4 linked regions of the Arabidopsis thaliana genome follow. The protein of the gene in region 1 interacts with the protein of each later gene in a pairwise test. Each region holds a gene or a part of one and is shown in the gene's direction. Other genes may lie near its edges.

Region 1 (5,586 bases):
GCCCTTTGTTTTCTCCTCTAGTTTTCTTGTAACGCCAAACTACATTCTGTATGATCAAAATTTAGTAACATAATTTATCAGAACCCCATTGTTTTAAAACGTGTCTGTGTATTTGTGTTTATATACGCTTAATCTTCTTCTTTCTAGTTAAATTTAATCAATTTAATGAAAAATTTGGTATATAAAAAAAAAGACTTTGCTCACGAGTTCCTCTCATAAGGGCCAAAACTAGTTAAAAAGTTATCGTCAAAAACTGATATAAAAAAGATGTCCGAATATTCCCGCATATAAATATCTATCAGACAAACTCTTTTGTACAATATACTTTGAATCCGATAAATTTTCGATCTTCAAAATCCATAAAAATCTCTCCTTTATTTAGCCCTAAAACAGAGTATTAGAGTTTGATTCGTAAAAGAGAATATTTTTAATCTCCGCCGCAAGTCGATGTCGATAACGATTCCCTACGATGGCTCAATCTCCCGCGAGCCATCACCGTCTCCACCGCCGCCAAAAGCGAACACGAAGAATCTACCGACGAAGATTCTCTCTAACTTCCTCATAGGTCTAATCATGATCCCTGTAGCTATAACCGCTTTTATCTTTATCCTCACGTCTCTCGGTTTCACCTTCTTCTTCGCTTTCTACTGGTTTCTTCAACGAAACTATCGCCACCGTCTCCGCCGCCATCGCCGTCACGAATACTCAGATGGGTTATCTCCAAGATGCGTGAAGAGGCTTCCTCAATTCAAGTATTGTGAGCCTAGTTCAGAGTACGGAGGCGATGATTGTGTTGTTTGTATCGATGGATTTAGACAAGGACAGTGGTGTCGGAAGCTGCCTCGATGTGGACATGTGTTTCACCGAAAGTGTGTGGACTTGTGGTTGATTAAAGTCTCGACTTGTCCGATTTGTAGGGATAGGGTTTATAGATTTGAAGAAGGAAGAAGATGGAGACCACAAGGTGAAATTTTTTGATCGGTGGTTTTATAATTAGATTTGAAAGTGTGTTTAGTTTGTTATCATATTTAGCAGCAATTTTGGTTTTCATCAATAGTCATGTACAGTGTCTTTTTTTTTTTTTTACACGGCTTCACAATTGAAAGCTTGTTTCTTCACCGTTTGATGAATTTGATCCAATAAGAGAATGATGGGTTTCTGTAGAATTTAACTTAGTTTGAGGTTTGATTATCATGCCAATTATTAAATTCAATCTAGTCAATTACTGATAGAAATGTTGTCCATTTGTCACTTTAAACATGTTGCTTATGTTACCTTAATGATTTCTCATAATTTCACTTGAGATTCAGTGGTTAATCATCAATGTTTCTGTTTCAATTTGTCCATGATGAAGTATAAGTTCTAAGTAAAGCTTGGTTCATGTGATTTTAATTTACCTACTTCACCTCCAAAGTTATGTCAACTATGTTTTCAAGTGTGTGATTCAAAAGTTTATATTGAACATAAAAATAAAGGAGGCTAAAGAATCGTTTTCTGATTGGAATGTGAGATTGTGACTCACACGGAGAAAGTGATTGTGATTGGATCTGACTATAAGACTAAAGAAGTGTTTTTGTGAAGTAACAAGTAACATTGTCTAATTAGTGTTTTGTATTGTAAACTAATAATGACTTTGATTAACGAAATAATGTCACTTTAGTCAAATGTGTTGACTTTCTTGTCTTATACCGATGGCTCAAGTATTCCCAAGAAAAAAAAACAAATATCCCTCCGATTTCTGACTCGTCCCGTGACTCAGTGATTCTCCTCTTCCAATCCTCTCCGGAAGAACTAAACAAAAACACGATCTTTCTCAGATTTAGAGAGAGTAAGAGTGAGAGAGTGTCAGAGACACGAATCAAAGAAATGATTTTTAAAAGCTTCTGTTAATTCTAATTTGCATAGATTTGTTTACTCGAGCTTGAGCTTGAGCTTCTTCTAATGGAGTTAAGGAAGGACAAGCTTCTTATGTAAGTTTTCTTTCTCTCATCCGTCGGTTAGACTTACGTTCCTGAAAGTCTTCAACTTTGATTGCCCAGAAATTAAAAATTCTAGACTTTGCTTTAGATTTATCTCTTCTTTAGATGTTACAAGCTCAAGCTCCGATTTTGGGTACTGGGTTTAACTTAAATCTCTAGTTAGGTTTCAGATTACAGATTTGAGTTGTGTATTGCTTTGTAGGTTTTACTCAGAGGGGAAAGAAAGCAAAGAAGCTAAATGGGCAGTGAATGATCCAATGAGCAAATCTTATAAGCTCTCTTTACCTTCAGCACTAAGACCTGATAATCTCTTACCTGGAAATAGACTTAGATACACTGATGCTTCTAAGTCCAAATCTTCTAAAGTCTCATGGTACAAGACTATTCTTGATCCAGGAAGTGAGATTGTCTTGAAATGGAATTGGGTCTTCATTGTCTCATGTATGGTTGCTCTCTTCATCGACCCGTTGTACTTCTTTGTCCCAGCTATAGGAGGAGATAAAAACTATCCTTGTGCAAGGACTGATACAAGTTTAAGCATCCTTGTTACTTTCTTCAGGACAATAGCGGATCTTTTCTACTTGCTGCACATTTTCATTAAGTTTAGGACTGGTTTCATTGCGCCTAATTCAAGTACTAGAGTGTTTGGTAGAGGTGAGCTTGTGATGGATCCTAAGGCTATTGCTTGGAGGTATATTAAATCTGACTTCATCATCGATCTCATTGCGACGTTACCACTTCCACAGATAGTTATCTGGTTTGTTATATCGACTACAAAAAGTTACCGGTTTGATCATAACAACAATGCTATTGCTTTGATTGTGCTCCTCCAATACATCCCAAGATTCTATTTGATAATTCCGTTAAGTTCTCAAATTGTTAAAGCAACTGGAGTTGTTACAAAGACTGCTTGGGCTGGAGCTGCTTATAATCTTTTGCTATACATGCTGGCTAGTCATGTATGAATCCCATTCCTTCTTCTTCCATTATTTCATTCCTTAAATGTGATGATAATCAAAGCTACAATGTTTTTGTTGGGACAGGTGCTTGGTGCAGCCTGGTATATATTATCGGTTGATAGATATACATCGTGCTGGAAATCAAGATGCAATGGTGAAGCTGGCCAAGTTAATTGTCAGCTATATTACTTAGACTGTGATTCAATGTATGACAATAATCAGATGACTTGGGCAAATGTCACAAAAGTGTTTAAACTCTGTGATGCACGGAATGGCGAGTTCAAGTATGGGATCTTTGGGAATGCAATCACGAAAAACGTTGTGTCTTCACAGTTCTTCGAGAGATATTTCTACTGTTTGTGGTGGGGATTGCAGCAGCTTAGGTAATGGCAGAGATCATAGAAATTTTTTGATACCAATTATTACTCTCCTTTTGATTACAAGTTTTAGAATCTGATGACATTTTCCTGTTATTGTCATATTCTAGTTCTTATGGACAGAATTTGTCCACGACCATGTTCATGGGCGAAACCACATTTGCTGTTCTCATTGCAATCTTTGGTCTTGTCCTCTTTGCCCATCTCATTGGGAATATGCAGGTATGGATTCCTGCGTTAGGATAAGTTCTAAAAGTATCTGCTTTTGTTCTTATGTTTCTTGGGTTTTGCCTTTTGTTTGTTAGACATATCTGCAATCTTTGACTGTACGGCTTGAGGAATGGAGATTGAAGAAGAGAGACACTGAGGAGTGGATGAGACATCGTCAACTTCCTGAAGAGTTGAGAAACCGTGTGAGGCGATATGAGCAGTATAAGTGGCTTGCAACAAGAGGAGTCGATGAAGAGGTTCTCCTGCAAAGTTTACCCACTGATCTTCGCCGTGATATTCAACGTCACCTATGTTTAGATCTTGTTCGAAGAGTAAGTTTTTCTATTGATTTGTTTATCCTACAAATGGTTCAACTTTTAGGTTAACTACTATCTTGAATCATGCAGGTCCCATTTTTCTCTCAAATGGATGATCAGCTGCTTGATGCGATATGTGAGCGCCTGGTTTCTTCTCTGTGTACTGAAGGGACTTACCTTGTACGTGAAGGTGACTTGATCTCAGAGATGCTCTTCATCATCAGAGGTAGACTCGAGAGTTCCACAACCAATGGAGGCAGAACCGGTTTCTTCAACTCGATTATACTTAGACCTGGAGATTTCTGTGGGGAAGAGCTTCTTTCTTGGGCTTTGCTTCCAAAATCAACCTTGAATTTACCATCTTCTACAAGAACAGTTAGGGCTTTAGTTGAAGTCGAAGCATTCGCTCTTCGAGCTGAAGATTTGAAATTTGTTGCAAATCAGTTTAGGCGGTTACACAGCAAGAAGCTTCAACATACATTCAGATTCTACTCTCACCATTGGAGAACTTGGGCTGCTTGCTTCATACAAGCGGCTTGGCGCAGGTACAAGAGAAGAGTTATGGAGAATAACCTCACTGCGATTGAATCAATGGAAAATGAAGAAGGAGAAGTAGGAGAAGAATTAGTAGTAGTAGAAGAAGAAGAGTGTGTTGAGGAGAGTCCTAGAACAAAGATGAACCTTGGAGTTATGGTTTTGGCATCGCGTTTTGCAGCTAATACAAGACGCGGTGTTGCAGCTCAGAGAGTTAAGGATGTAGAATTACCCCGGTTTAAGAAACCCGAGGAGCCTGATTTCTCTGCTGAGCATGATGATTGACTGATGTATAACCAGGAGAAGAAGCTGACTTTGTTCCATAGAAGATCTTAATGACAAGAACACTACAGAGTAAGTTTCCTGTTCCTTTGGGAGACATAAAGAAAGAAACTCAAGGCGGGTTTTGGTTTGTACACTTAAACATCTTTTGTAATATAAGCTTGGAGAATTAGTTTTGTTGTACTATTAAAGAACTCGTTTCTAAATTCTCTAAATGTAAAGATGAGGAAGTTGAAGTGGATTATGTACAAATCACATCAAACCTTGCAAAATTGATTGAACCAACAAGGAAGTAAAAAGATGTCTAAGCCCATTCGTCAAAGCCCCTATATGCCGTGGTTACTGACTTACTGTAACGTTGAGAATAAGATGGTAAAGAAAGAAAAAATATATTTTCTTGAGCATGTTGCATATTGCTATCGACACAAGCTTCTTTTTAAAGAAAGGTAGACTCACTTAATCAATAGACATAAGATCATACTAATGATGAGTTTGGACTTTGGTCCATGGGAAAAAGTTAAAATGTTTACTTGCTTTCTCTACTGACCTAGATATGTCGGATCAAATCATAATCTACATTACAGGATTACATACATATTTGGGATTTTTCTTTTTGCAATATGGCCACAAGACCAGCTCAATGTAATCATGGATTCTTAGTCGATTTAAAAAGTTGTAAATATTTTAAACTAACATATTGAAAAGTTTCTGAAAATTTCTTGTCCCATATAATATACAAATAAATTTTATGGTCTTGAATGACAATAACAATATAGTATGGCACAAGAAGTTAGATTGAACGGAAACTGAATCATGAAAACAATGGTTTTCAACAATCATAATTATAGTAACATATATTAATATTTTGAATCGTTTATTAATATGTGAAATTTTTAAACATGCATGCATATATTAAGAGATGACATAG
Region 2 (4,462 bases), on another chromosome or scaffold:
TAAATGAAAAGTAATACATAGCATGTGGAGGATTTGGTGATCAAATATTAATCCACACATGCAATATACGAAAAGTTAACTTTTTGTTCGGTTCTGAAAGTAATGAAACCAAAAGCAAGAGAAAAATCAGTTTAGTTAGGAGTTCTATTTAACAAATTTCAACATTAATCTTTTTCAGAAAAAGATTAAAATCAAAGAAAGCAAAACGGACAGAGTTTTGTAACTTGGTTCGGGTACATGTTTACATGATCTTATTTCATAGTTTCCCAAGTAAGAAATAGATTTGGTTTGCTAGTTACATTTGCGACCATGCATTTAGCATATTCCATCTAGTGAAAATTAATTAATATTATCTATTTCTATTTTTTATCTTTTATTTCACTATCTTATTTCTACCACCCACCCAAGCTAGACCGCCATCTTAACTAATAATTAATCAAACTTAAGAGTCGTAAGCACTGATATCTATGGATTACCTAAGAAATCTATAGTGGACATGTATAAAATCTAACATATGCACTAGGGACATCCATATCTTAGGCACATATGTATGGTTAAAGACAATTAAAAAAAACAACCTTACACGTAAATACCTTATACACACGTAAAATTTGCATACGAGCCAATGTCTTTCTTGTATATGTATGTATTGATATTTTTTTCTCTTTTTCATTCTTTGTTAAGGGAAATATATACTTATCTTATATGACCCCTAAACGGCTAAACGATATAAAAACAACGTTAAAAATCTTATTATGGTGCATGGCTTGCTTATAATTGTTTAGCTATTTTTAGGTTATTAGTAGTCGCAGCATAAAAACGGTATGTCAACAAATTTCATGGTAGATCTAGATTACGACCTCAAAACTCGTTTATACAAAGTATACAACGTTTCTACAATTTATATTAATTAGTTTTTTGTGAGTATGCATATATATCGTAACTATGTCGGGTTTTATATTATTACATTTAAAATGATAGGAACTTATCATTTGACAAGGTGTAACAAAAATAATAATTATAAAGATGAGAGTTGTTTCGGATCAAAGGCACTTACCATTAGCTTTTAGATTCGAGAGCCTCTCACAGCCACACCTTTTTTTGGACTAGTCCTTATTGTTTAACAAACCCCACATGATATCCTTTTATATTTACACCACTTTCGTTAATTTATTAACTTTCTTCCACATCCACATTTAAATTTGATCTAGACATTTTCTTATATTAAACTATATACATCTCTATCCTAATGAGGTATTAACTAGCTATAGTTTATTCATTTGTCGGTCTTAAGCTTTATTATTTGTCATGGCAAGAAAAAGAAAACTTTGATTGGTTATTCATTGTGGTTGTTGTAACGCTTTTTTTTGTTTGTGTTATTTGACCCCAAACATAAATAATTCTTCATTTTCTTGCGCGTTTTATGATTGCGTTGAAATAACATCTTCACTCGCCAAACACTCCAGTAATACCCATTTTTCCAACATATACACTTCTAATCATACCCACAAACATACACACGTTTTAATCTGCAGCTTCAAGGATATGTTGCCTTCTTTAATTGAATCTTATTTACCAATGGAGAATACGTATACATTTCCTTAGACTAAAAAAATATATAAACCCTTTTGTTAATTATAACATTCAAGTATTCAACTATAACTTCTTAAATAAAAAAATTCGTCAACTTTATTCATAACATATATACGTGTCCTTGTCGACATGCAAAAAGAATGTATATGTGCATTTGTACGTGTATATATGTATTAAAATAAAAGGCTTAGAATAGTCGAAGGAGAGAAAGCGAAAGATGATGATGAGTCATAGAGACAATTCACCAGCTTATAAGTAGTAAATCCACCAAAAGGAAAATATATTCAACAGAGAAACTCCGATCAAGAATATTCATATCAGAGAAGAAAAAGTAAATTCCTATTAAACTTCTGATTCTCTTTTTTCTTTTTGTTCTGCTTTTCATTTGCTTTTTGGATATCTTTTTACAGTAGTTATAACTTATAAATGAAGTTCGTAAATATATTGTAGGATCATAAGAGAATCAAAGAATGGTGCTTTTACCAGCGTTTTTGGACGGATTAGCGAGAACTGTATCGACGAAGAAAGGTAAAAAACTATCGGAAGATGAAGATGGAGGGAGAGAGATCGCAAAATCGATGATTAAAGATTCGAAGAAGAACTCGACGTTGCTCGGTACTTCAGGCTTTGTTAGCTCCGAAAGTTCTAAGAGGTTTACCTCTATTTGTTCTAATAGAGGTGAGAAAGGAATCAACCAAGATCGTGCAATTGTTTGGGAGGTACACTTTATATAAATACTAGCTATATGTTAGGTAATTCGTCTTTCCATGAAACGTATTATGATATCTACAAATTATTGACGAACTTATATGTTAGAAATGGAATCATCACATGCATGTAGTTACTAATTAATTGTGTTTATAAGATTTGTTGTGAAATTTAAACTGTTTTTATGTATTTATATTACATAATATATAGGGATTTGGGTGCCAAGAAGACATAACATTTTGTGGGATGTTTGATGGACATGGACCATGGGGACATGTGATAGCCAAAAGAGTAAAAAAATCATTTCCATCTTCTCTGCTTTGCCAATGGCAACAAACTCTTGCCTCCTTATCATCCTCGCCGGAATGTTCCTCTCCGTTTGATCTTTGGAAGCAAGCTTGCCTGAAAACATTCTCCATCATCGATCTTGATCTCAAGATCAGTCCTTCCATTGATTCTTACTGTAGCGGCTGCACCGCTCTCACCGCTGTTTTGCAGGTAACATACATACATATGTTCATAATAGTACTGAACACCTTTAGCAAAAAACAAAAATACATAAGTTCTTGTAACCATATTATAACTTTTCATTTTATGGTGTATAGATAATATTTTGTGAGTATTTATAATGTTTCATTTGAAAGATGCTAAATGATAAAGTTTGATTTTGTCTTTTTAAGGGTGATCATCTCGTTATAGCAAATGCGGGTGACTCACGAGCAGTAATAGCAACAACTTCTGATGATGGAAACGGTTTAGTCCCGGTTCAGCTCTCGGTAGACTTTAAACCAAACATTCCCGGTAGAGTTCTAGAAGCCTTTCCATATTTTACAGTTACTTTTACTCAGATGAAATGACGAATTAACAATTGGTATGTGATAATTTCCGGTTAAAACAGAGGAAGCAGAACGGATAAAACAATCGGATGGACGATTGTTCTGCCTAGACGATGAACCGGGAGTGTACCGGGTGGGTATGCCTAATGGAGGATCACTCGGTTTAGCTGTTTCAAGAGCGTTTGGAGATTACTGCCTTAAAGACTTCGGTTTAGTCTCTGAACCGGAAGTAACATACCGAAAGATAACCGACAAGGACCAGTTTCTAATCTTGGCCACCGATGGGGTGATATATCAAACTTACTCAGCATTTAAATCAAAATCAAGATTGATAAATCATATAATTGTGTAATGAACTAATGATGTATGTATGTATATGTAGATGTGGGATGTGATGACGAATAATGAGGCAGTGGAGATAGTAAGAGGAGTTAAAGAGAGAAGAAAGAGCGCAAAGAGATTGGTAGAGAGAGCTGTGACGCTTTGGCGTAGGAAGAGAAGAAGCATCGCCATGGATGATATTTCTGTTCTCTGTCTCTTCTTTCGTCCTTCTTAGTTTAACTCTTCTTTAACCTCTCTATTACTTATATACATTTATCAATGTATTTTGGGCGTCATTGAACAACAAAAATGTGATACATATACATTTTTACATAGAATAATAGATGTTGTGAGGAGTGATTGAGAATGGAGAGATAGGTGAGTAAAGAGTTTTATAATGGTTTTGTTTGTAAGTACGACATGTAATGGTTCATATATTGATCAAAGTTTGGACCTTGATCTTGATTATGATTTCTATAGAAGACAAATTTCTAAAATCTCAATTCTAAAAACTAAACTATATGCTGGTCCTGAATAAATCCAATCAAAATCATAACTCAAGACTTGAATAAACAATTTTAAAAGAAAAAACTATTTCATATATAATATCCAACATTGATGAGTTTTGTGACAAGGATTAGTTTTCAGTTTTGTCATAAAGAGGATTTGCTTCTACCCTTTATAGTGACAAAAGGACAAAATTTGCCATAATATTCGCAATTCTGAAAGCCAAGTGAGGCCGTTGCATCATTCAGGTTTCTTGGTTGCTGAGATCTTCAGAGTACCTTCATTCACCAACACCTGAAGCTCTGTTTTAGCCATCTCACGAACTTGAACATCTTCAGTCTCTACGAAAGCAGATAGTATCTTTGAACTGCCAAAAAAAAAAAAAAAAATTAACGCAGCAGAACAAGATTTCAAGGCTTGACGAAAAACACCTGCTTGTTTGCAGATAAATGGATGTATGAGAGGACTCATTAGACTAACTAACCAGTGTCCTTGTG
Region 3 (4,454 bases), on another chromosome or scaffold:
AGTACTCGTCATTCTCTCTATATGTGCAAACACATTCACCTACTGCATTCGGAAACGAAAACTACAAAATGGAAGAAACACAGATCCTGAAACAGGAGAGAATATGTCCATATTCAGCGTTGATGGCAAATTCAAATACCAAGATATCATCGAATCAACAAACGAATTCGATCCAACACACCTCATCGGAACCGGAGGATACAGCAAAGTCTACAGAGCAAACCTCCAAGATACAATCATAGCCGTTAAACGACTACATGACACAATAGACGAAGAGATATCAAAGCCAGTTGTGAAGCAAGAGTTCCTAAACGAGGTAAAAGCATTAACAGAGATCCGTCACCGCAACGTTGTGAAGCTCTTCGGCTTCTGCTCCCACCGCCGCCACACATTTCTGATCTACGAGTACATGGAAAAAGGAAGTTTAAACAAACTCTTAGCCAACGACGAAGAAGCTAAGCGACTCACTTGGACCAAAAGGATCAACGTCGTGAAAGGTGTGGCTCACGCTTTATCGTATATGCACCATGACCGAATAACACCGATCGTTCACCGTGATATTAGCAGCGGAAACATCCTTCTCGATAACGATTACACAGCTAAGATCTCCGATTTTGGTACAGCAAAACTTCTAAAGACGGATTCATCAAACTGGTCCGCCGTTGCTGGAACCTACGGCTACGTTGCACCAGGTAAATCTAAATCCCTAAATCTGATTTTGAGCTTATGAAATTTAAATCACTAAATTCGAAATTGAACTTGATTTTTCGCAACAGAGTTTGCTTACACGATGAAGGTGACGGAGAAATGCGATGTGTATAGCTTCGGGGTTTTGATACTCGAATTGATAATTGGGAAACATCCGGGAGATTTGGTATCGAGTTTGTCTTCGTCTCCAGGAGAAGCTCTGTCGCTAAGAAGCATTTCCGATGAACGTGTATTAGAACCACGGGGACAAAATAGAGAGAAGCTCTTGAAGATGGTGGAAATGGCTTTATTGTGTTTACAAGCAAATCCAGAATCTCGGCCAACGATGTTGTCAATCTCCACTACATTTTCTTAGAAACTGAACTTCTCCATCAATTTCTATGTTATCATTGTGTTTATCTATACAGCAACAGTAATCTCTGTTGGCTTTTGTTCTCTGTTCTTGCTTGTGTTTGCAGGAAGGGGTGTCGACTCTCGTTTCAGCTTTTGTTGTTGTTGTTTGGGCTTCTCGGCCTGCTTCAGCTTTTGTATGTATTGGGCTGCGCCCTTGTTGGTCTTTGGGCCTTGTTTGTTTTTATCTTTGCGGCTTGCGTGCCATGTTAGGCCTTTTGGTCTTGTAATGTGTTTGGTTAATGGAAATCTATGAAGTTAAAAAAATGAAAAAAAAAAAAAAAAAAAAAAAACTGTTAAAAGCATTTTTAGATAATGGTCATTGTGTTACTCCTCACATATGAACATTCAAATAAAGTTTTGGATACTGTCTATCTGTATATCGCCAGAATTAGTAAGAGATTTCTTATGCATAGTAGGAGATTAAAAAAAAAAATGCATAGTAGGAGATTTGTAAAGAAAGAAATAAGTTTTTTTTTGTATAATGAGTTCTAATGGACATCACGTTTGCAAGTGATAATAAAAAAATCTTACACTCTTGTACTCTGTAACGTGTTAAAATAATACAAAATGGATTATAATAACGAAATCTAAACACTTATAATCTTGCGGATGATTTTGTGACAACCAATGAAACCGTTAATGCGAGATTACGATAGTTTTTTATGAAATCATGATTTGTGCATAAAGTTAAGCAAATGCTAAATAATTCATAAAGTGTAAGAAACACGTGGCAGAAGAATTAATAATTCGTTTGGGATATTTTTGGTATATACGGACAGGCCACGTCGTGTCCTAAACCTCTTAGCCTTTCCCTTTATAAGTCAATCTTGTGTCGGCTTCGACTCCCAACATACACAAAACACTAAAAGTAGAAGAAAAATGGCGACTCTTAAGGTTTCTGATTCTGTTCCTGCTCCTTCTGATGATGCTGAGCAATTGAGAACCGCTTTTGAAGGTATAATAGTTTCATGATTCTTCTTGTTACGTTCTCTGTTTTTGTTACCTTCTTGTTTACATGATCAGTATCCACTTTTTGTAAAAGTGATGTGAATCTGTTGGTTTTCGTTTGGTGGGTTATTGTATGATCATTTGTTTTGATTGTTTTTCATGTGGATCGATCTTTGTTTTGGTCCGATGATATGAATGTTGTGTCGGTAGCGTTTTATGATCATTTGTACGATGATGTAGATCGAGATTGTTCCTTCATGGATCGGATCAGTGACAATGATCTCCTTTCTTTGTGTGATCTATAACAATCTTTTGTGTTAGTGATGAAGTTTTGATTGTCTGATCATGTTGATAATGACAATGATTACATTCACACGAGATCTTGATTGAGTTGTGTTTTGATTCTCACTGTCACAGATCTGTCTTCTTAGTCTAGATCTATAATGTAGTTACGTGTAATACAACACTAAGATCTTAAGATTTATATTTTGTGAATCTGTTTGACCGGTTCTGTTATTATGGATCTGAAGTGTGTGTGACTTGGATCTGAAGTATGTGACTTTGATGGTTATGTAAAGTGAATCTGATTCGTGTTTTTCGCAGGATGGGGTACGAACGAGGACTTGATCATATCAATCTTGGCTCACAGAAGTGCTGAACAGAGGAAAGTCATCAGGCAAGCATACCACGAAACCTACGGCGAAGACCTTCTCAAGACTCTTGACAAGGAGCTCTCTAACGATTTCGAGGTTCGGTTTTCGGACTTTTAAGTATCGACTTTTAAACATCTTGTGTGAAGTCATTGTATTCTAATTGGTTTTTTGGTCATGGACAGAGAGCTATCTTGTTGTGGACTCTTGAACCCGGTGAGCGTGATGCTTTATTGGCTAATGAAGCTACAAAAAGATGGACTTCAAGCAACCAAGTTCTTATGGAAGTTGCTTGCACAAGGACATCAACGCAGCTGCTTCACGCTAGGCAAGCTTACCATGCTCGCTACAAGAAGTCTCTTGAAGAGGACGTTGCTCACCACACTACCGGTGACTTCAGAAAGCTTTTGGTTTCTCTTGTTACCTCATACAGGTACGAAGGAGATGAAGTGAACATGACATTGGCTAAGCAAGAAGCTAAGCTGGTCCATGAGAAAATCAAGGACAAGCACTACAATGATGAGGATGTTATTAGAATCTTGTCCACAAGAAGCAAAGCTCAGATCAATGCTACTTTTAACCGTTACCAAGATGATCATGGCGAGGAAATTCTCAAGAGTCTTGAGGAAGGAGATGATGATGACAAGTTCCTTGCACTTTTGAGGTCAACCATTCAGTGCTTGACAAGACCAGAGCTTTACTTTGTCGATGTTCTTCGTTCAGCAATCAACAAAACTGGAACTGATGAAGGAGCACTCACTAGAATTGTGACCACAAGAGCTGAGATTGACTTGAAGGTCATTGGAGAGGAGTACCAGCGCAGGAACAGCATTCCTTTGGAGAAAGCTATTACCAAAGACACTCGTGGAGATTACGAGAAGATGCTCGTCGCACTTCTCGGTGAAGATGATGCTTAATCAATCAATCCTCCACAGAGAAACATAAGCTGCTCTACAGCTTCTGTTATCTCTTATCTCCCTCTCTCTCTCTTTGATGAGTTTCAAATCGTTTGATTTTGTTTCTACAAAAACCTTGTTTGTTTCTGTTGTGTGTTTTGAGTTCCTAAATAATGCAAAAGAGAGAGACAGAGAGAACCAGTGTGGTCTCTTAAGTTATATATATATGAAGAGCATTGGCCTAAAACACAGACTAACAAGTAGTTCTGGTTTTGACAAAAGTTGTTGTCACTACAAAAAGGGAGACCAACAACAAAAAAGTTAAGGGCATTGTTTTCTCTAAAGCCCTATCCGATCTTGAAACACAAAATAACAACAACAACATTTTTTAGTTACTAATCAAAGTCACTTCTTCAAGATGGTCTTGGAGAAAATCTTCTTGCAGTAAGGGCTCGAGTGTAGTTTCCCGTACCTGTAAACCTTCGCCACCAATTTAGCACGAACAGGTCCCTGCATCAACCCCAAAAGCCATGTCAAGTTCTGTTTCTAAAAGCTTATAACATATGTATTGATTTGGACTTACTTTGGTTACAGAGAGAGCAGTTTGGATCACATAGTTCGCATAAGGATCTTGCAGAAGATATTCAAAGTTTGGAACACAGAGGAGCTCACGGACGATCTCAGCTCGACTCTCTGGATACTTCCTTAGACACTTCTCAATCACGTGGCTACTAAACTTCTGAGTAGCTAACTCGGCGTAGTGCATTCTAAACTGAACCAGCAACTTCACTGCAGAAACTTGTTGATCTATTAAGTACTGCACCACATAGTTCCTGCCAAATTTCATTAACTATAAGGA
Region 4 (3,774 bases), on another chromosome or scaffold:
AAACACTATATCATTTAGTAGTAAAACACTCAGTAACTAAAAAATATTTTCTTAAAAAAAGATATGATGCGGAACTTTTAATTAAAACTCACAACTAAAAAATTAAAATAGTTGAAACATACTTAGTAAACACCAAATTATTTTCAACAAAAAATAGTCAAAGTCGTAGCACTGAACCATTCAACCAAAAAAAAACACATTTAACAAGATACACACACGACTAATAAATGTGTATTTTCTTACGTCTTTAAAATTACATTAACACTTAATTAATTCAACAAAATCCCTTTAGCCAAAATTTAGTCGAAGCACTTACTCAAAAAACTTATATCTAAATCCGAACACACGTAAAACACTAGATCAATTTACTTAAAAGTCGAAACATATATTTCCAAGCATACTTCTAAACAAAGCATACTTAGTGAAGTACATTAGTTATACTGTTGAACACAATATTAAATCACGAACACGTACTCCTAAACTAGTCAGGCAAATTACTCCTAACATTTTAGTCAAAACATAGTTATTCGTAACACTTGAAAACACTTCCGCAATTCCGCATTTAAAGGCAAGTGCAAAAATCACACTTTATTTAAAAAAAGCTTATATAAAAACCGTTTTAGGCGAAGTATGAATATTACTTGAACAATTATTGTTTTTACTTCACATTTCGTCGAAGCGTCTGTTAGTCGAAGCCAAGCACAAGTTGAACCACTGTTAGTCGTATCGCTGTTAGTCGTTAGTCAAAACACTTTTTTATGTCATACATTTTGTACGTTGTTATTAAATGTTAACTTGATCGGGAAAAGACCACTCTGTTGCAGGTCGCACACCTTTAACAGTGATCTAATATATCAAAGACAAAAAAAAGGTGGATTGAGATTAATCATAAAAGGAAACAAATACTTTAACAACTTCTCAAAAAAATTGGTGATCAAACTCAGAAAACTAAAAATTGGAACATAGCAACTGAAGAAAATGAAAATGAGGATCTGTTTCGCATCCATATTTCGCAAACTCATTAAAACGTTAATTAATTTTAAAATAACCAAGTGTAGATAACGCAGCTTATCGGATCCGTTGGTATAACGTTGTATGGTCCTCAGTTTGGAAGGAGTGGCGATTTTCCGAAAATGGATTGATATAAGGCAAACAGATTGGTTCAGAGTAATTTCAAAAAAATCAATGAAACGGTATATGAAATAATGTACTTAAAATATTATATCAAATAGGCTATCTCTATGCTCACATCACATGCGTCGAATAAACAATTAAAACAAAAATCCAACGGGACGACCAATAGCATAATTCCGGTGGCTCGTAATTAAAAATTGGTCCACATTATATCAAAGTGCTCACGTACCCTTTCAAAATTCCAATTCCAACTAATGTTGCTGTGGTGCTACAGAAATAAATAAAAAACTATAGTTGAAAACTGACAAAACAAGTATAATTAATATTGACTCGCTTTATACAAGAAACATGTTACTTTGTACAAAACAAGTATAATTAATATTGACTAAAATGAAAATTATCACTTTATACCTGTTAAGAATCGATAGATTATCATACAAGTTGTTTCAAATTATTATACAAGTTTGTTTCACTTCACTTTACACCGAATAGCATTGATAAATTAATATACACCTGCTAAAGTGACGAGGTTTCAAAAGCATATCATTGCATCCTATAAAAAGAAGCTCACTCAGTATACTAAAACACACCAACATTCATCAAAAAAACACATAACAAAAAATGGAATTCTCAACCACATTAGCTCTGTTCTTCACTCTCTCCATATTCTTGGTCGGAGCACAAGCCAAAGTTCCCGTCGACGACCAATTTCGAGTGGTCAACGAAGGAGGCTACACCGATTACAGTCCCATCGAATACAACCCCGACGTACGTGGCTTCGTCCCCTTCAGCGACAACTTCCGTCTCTGTTTCTACAACACAACCCAAAACGCATACACTCTCGCTCTTAGAATCGGAAACAGAGCCCAAGAATCCACTCTAAGATGGGTCTGGGAAGCAAACAGAGGCTCACCAGTCAAAGAAAACGCCACGTTGACTTTCGGCGAAGATGGAAACCTTGTACTTGCTGAAGCCGATGGCCGCGTGGTCTGGCAAACGAACACGGCTAACAAAGGCGTCGTGGGGATCAAAATTTTGGAGAATGGCAATATGGTAATATATGATTCAAATGGAAAATTCGTATGGCAAAGCTTTGACTCTCCGACCGACACGCTTCTCGTTGGACAGTCTTTGAAACTCAACGGTCAAAACAAGCTCGTAAGCAGACTTTCTCCATCGGTCAACGCAAACGGACCGTACAGTCTCGTGATGGAAGCCAAGAAGCTAGTCTTGTACTACACGACAAACAAAACTCCAAAACCAATCGGTTACTACGAATACGAATTCTTCACCAAGATAGCTCAGTTACAGTCTATGACGTTCCAAGCTGTGGAGGATGCCGACACCACGTGGGGTCTACACATGGAAGGTGTCGACTCTGGTTCTCAATTCAACGTCTCGACGTTCCTCTCGCGGCCTAAACACAATGCGACGTTGAGTTTTCTTCGGTTAGAGTCAGACGGAAACATCAGAGTTTGGAGTTACAGTACGTTGGCGACTTCCACGGCTTGGGACGTAACGTACACGGCGTTTACTAACGACAACACTGACGGTAACGATGAGTGTAGGATCCCTGAGCATTGTTTGGGGTTTGGTTTGTGTAAGAAAGGTCAGTGTAACGCTTGTCCTAGCGACATAGGGCTTCTTGGTTGGGATGAGACTTGCAAGATTCCGAGTCTCGCTAGTTGCGATCCCAAGACATTTCACTATTTCAAGATCGAAGGAGCTGATAGTTTTATGACGAAGTATAACGGTGGATCAACGACAACGGAGAGTGCGTGTGGGGACAAATGTACGAGAGATTGTAAGTGTTTAGGGTTTTTCTACAATAGGAAGAGTTCGAGGTGTTGGTTGGGTTATGAGCTCAAGACATTGACTAAAACCGGAGATACTTCCCTAGTTGCTTATGTCAAGGCTCCGAATGCTAGCAAGAAGTCAGCTCTTGCCATTTGAAGCGTAAACAAAGGTTTTTGTGTGTCGTTTTGACGAATAATAAGGCTACGTTGTCCTTTGTTTTCTCTTTTCTGAAAAAGTGTTGCTATTGGTTTATCTTGTTTTATGATTGCATGTTGATTCTCAAGCTACACCGTAATAAATTGAAGTGAAACGCATCAGCTAAATTCAATTATTCTCATTATTTTACCAAAAAAAATAAAATTATTCATTAATTTAGTATCATCACAAAATATGATATACTTAAGGATTGAATTGAGAAATTGAATCATGAATGAGTTTAAGCTTTCATGTTTTCTGTTTTTCTTTTTTTTTTAGCTTGAGACCATATTTTGAAGGTAATGTTTCAAGAAAAACCTTAACTTTCCGTTGTGAAAAAATGTTTTATATTTTTATTAGACACTGATGCAATGCAGTAGAACGTGCACACAACACTTTGCTTCTCATGACAAGCCATTGAAAGATTCAAACTTTTAATTTGGATTATTAAAGAAGCGGTATAAATATGATACGAATAAGATGCGTGCTACGGCGCTTCGACGCCGCGTCACCTTAACAGAGATGGTCATCTGTCTCGTTTTTTTTTGACCAGTCAACGCTCTTATATATTTATTATACATGTACATAATGTCTTAAATCATGCAGACTAATAACTTTACATCGTTTTCGTTGTTAGCTTTGATTTTT

What was found.
Region 2: the proteins of CNGC17 (region 1) and AT3G16800 interact in a protein complementation assay, tested with the Arabidopsis thaliana proteins (one large-scale study listed by BioGRID).
Region 3: the proteins of CNGC17 (region 1) and ANNAT1 interact in a protein complementation assay, tested with the Arabidopsis thaliana proteins (one large-scale study listed by BioGRID).
Region 4: the proteins of CNGC17 (region 1) and AT1G78860 interact in a protein complementation assay, tested with the Arabidopsis thaliana proteins (one large-scale study listed by BioGRID).

What each region holds. Positions count from the first base shown.
Region 1 is NC_003075.7:14,854,135-14,859,720, reverse strand, and holds CNGC17 (cyclic nucleotide-gated channel 17), read left to right. Parts: upstream 1-1,701; 5' UTR 1,702-1,941; coding exon 1,942-1,970; intron 1,971-2,181; coding exon 2,182-2,938; intron 2,939-3,022; coding exon 3,023-3,321; intron 3,322-3,425; coding exon 3,426-3,537; intron 3,538-3,620; coding exon 3,621-3,857; intron 3,858-3,932; coding exon 3,933-4,661; 3' UTR 4,662-5,027; downstream 5,028-5,586. Other genes in the region: AT4G30370 (RING/U-box superfamily protein), read left to right, coding at 448-978. UniProt on the Arabidopsis thaliana protein: Probable cyclic nucleotide-gated ion channel. Forms a functional cation-translocating unit with AHAs that is activated by PSKR1/BAK1 and possibly other BAK1/RLK complexes. Required for PSK-induced protoplast expansion.
Region 2 is NC_003074.8:5,719,231-5,723,692, forward strand, and holds AT3G16800 (Protein phosphatase 2C family protein), read left to right. Parts: upstream 1-1,710; 5' UTR 1,711-1,924; intron 1,925-1,994; exon of another isoform or gene 1,995-2,043; 5' UTR 2,044-2,063; coding exon 2,064-2,312; exon of another isoform or gene 2,313-2,511; coding exon 2,512-2,799; intron 2,800-2,981; coding exon 2,982-3,102; coding exon of another isoform or gene 3,103-3,158; exon of another isoform or gene 3,159-3,199; coding exon 3,200-3,423; intron 3,424-3,519; coding exon 3,520-3,693; 3' UTR 3,694-3,955; downstream 3,956-4,462. Other genes in the region: PUM24 (pumilio 24), read right to left, coding at 4,206-4,332, 4,450-4,462.
Region 3 is NC_003070.9:13,223,324-13,227,777, forward strand, and holds ANNAT1 (annexin 1), read left to right. Parts: upstream 1-1,844; 5' UTR 1,845-1,980; coding exon 1,981-2,056; intron 2,057-2,652; coding exon 2,653-2,798; intron 2,799-2,884; coding exon 2,885-3,616; 3' UTR 3,617-3,916; downstream 3,917-4,454. Other genes in the region: AT1G35710 (kinase family with leucine-rich repeat domain-containing protein), read left to right, coding at 1-692, 777-1,063; PUM9 (pumilio 9), read right to left, coding at 4,001-4,105, 4,179-4,428.
Region 4 is NC_003070.9:29,645,481-29,649,254, reverse strand, and holds AT1G78860 (D-mannose binding lectin protein with Apple-like carbohydrate-binding domain-containing protein), read left to right. Parts: upstream 1-1,563; 5' UTR 1,564-1,755; coding exon 1,756-3,087; 3' UTR 3,088-3,252; downstream 3,253-3,774.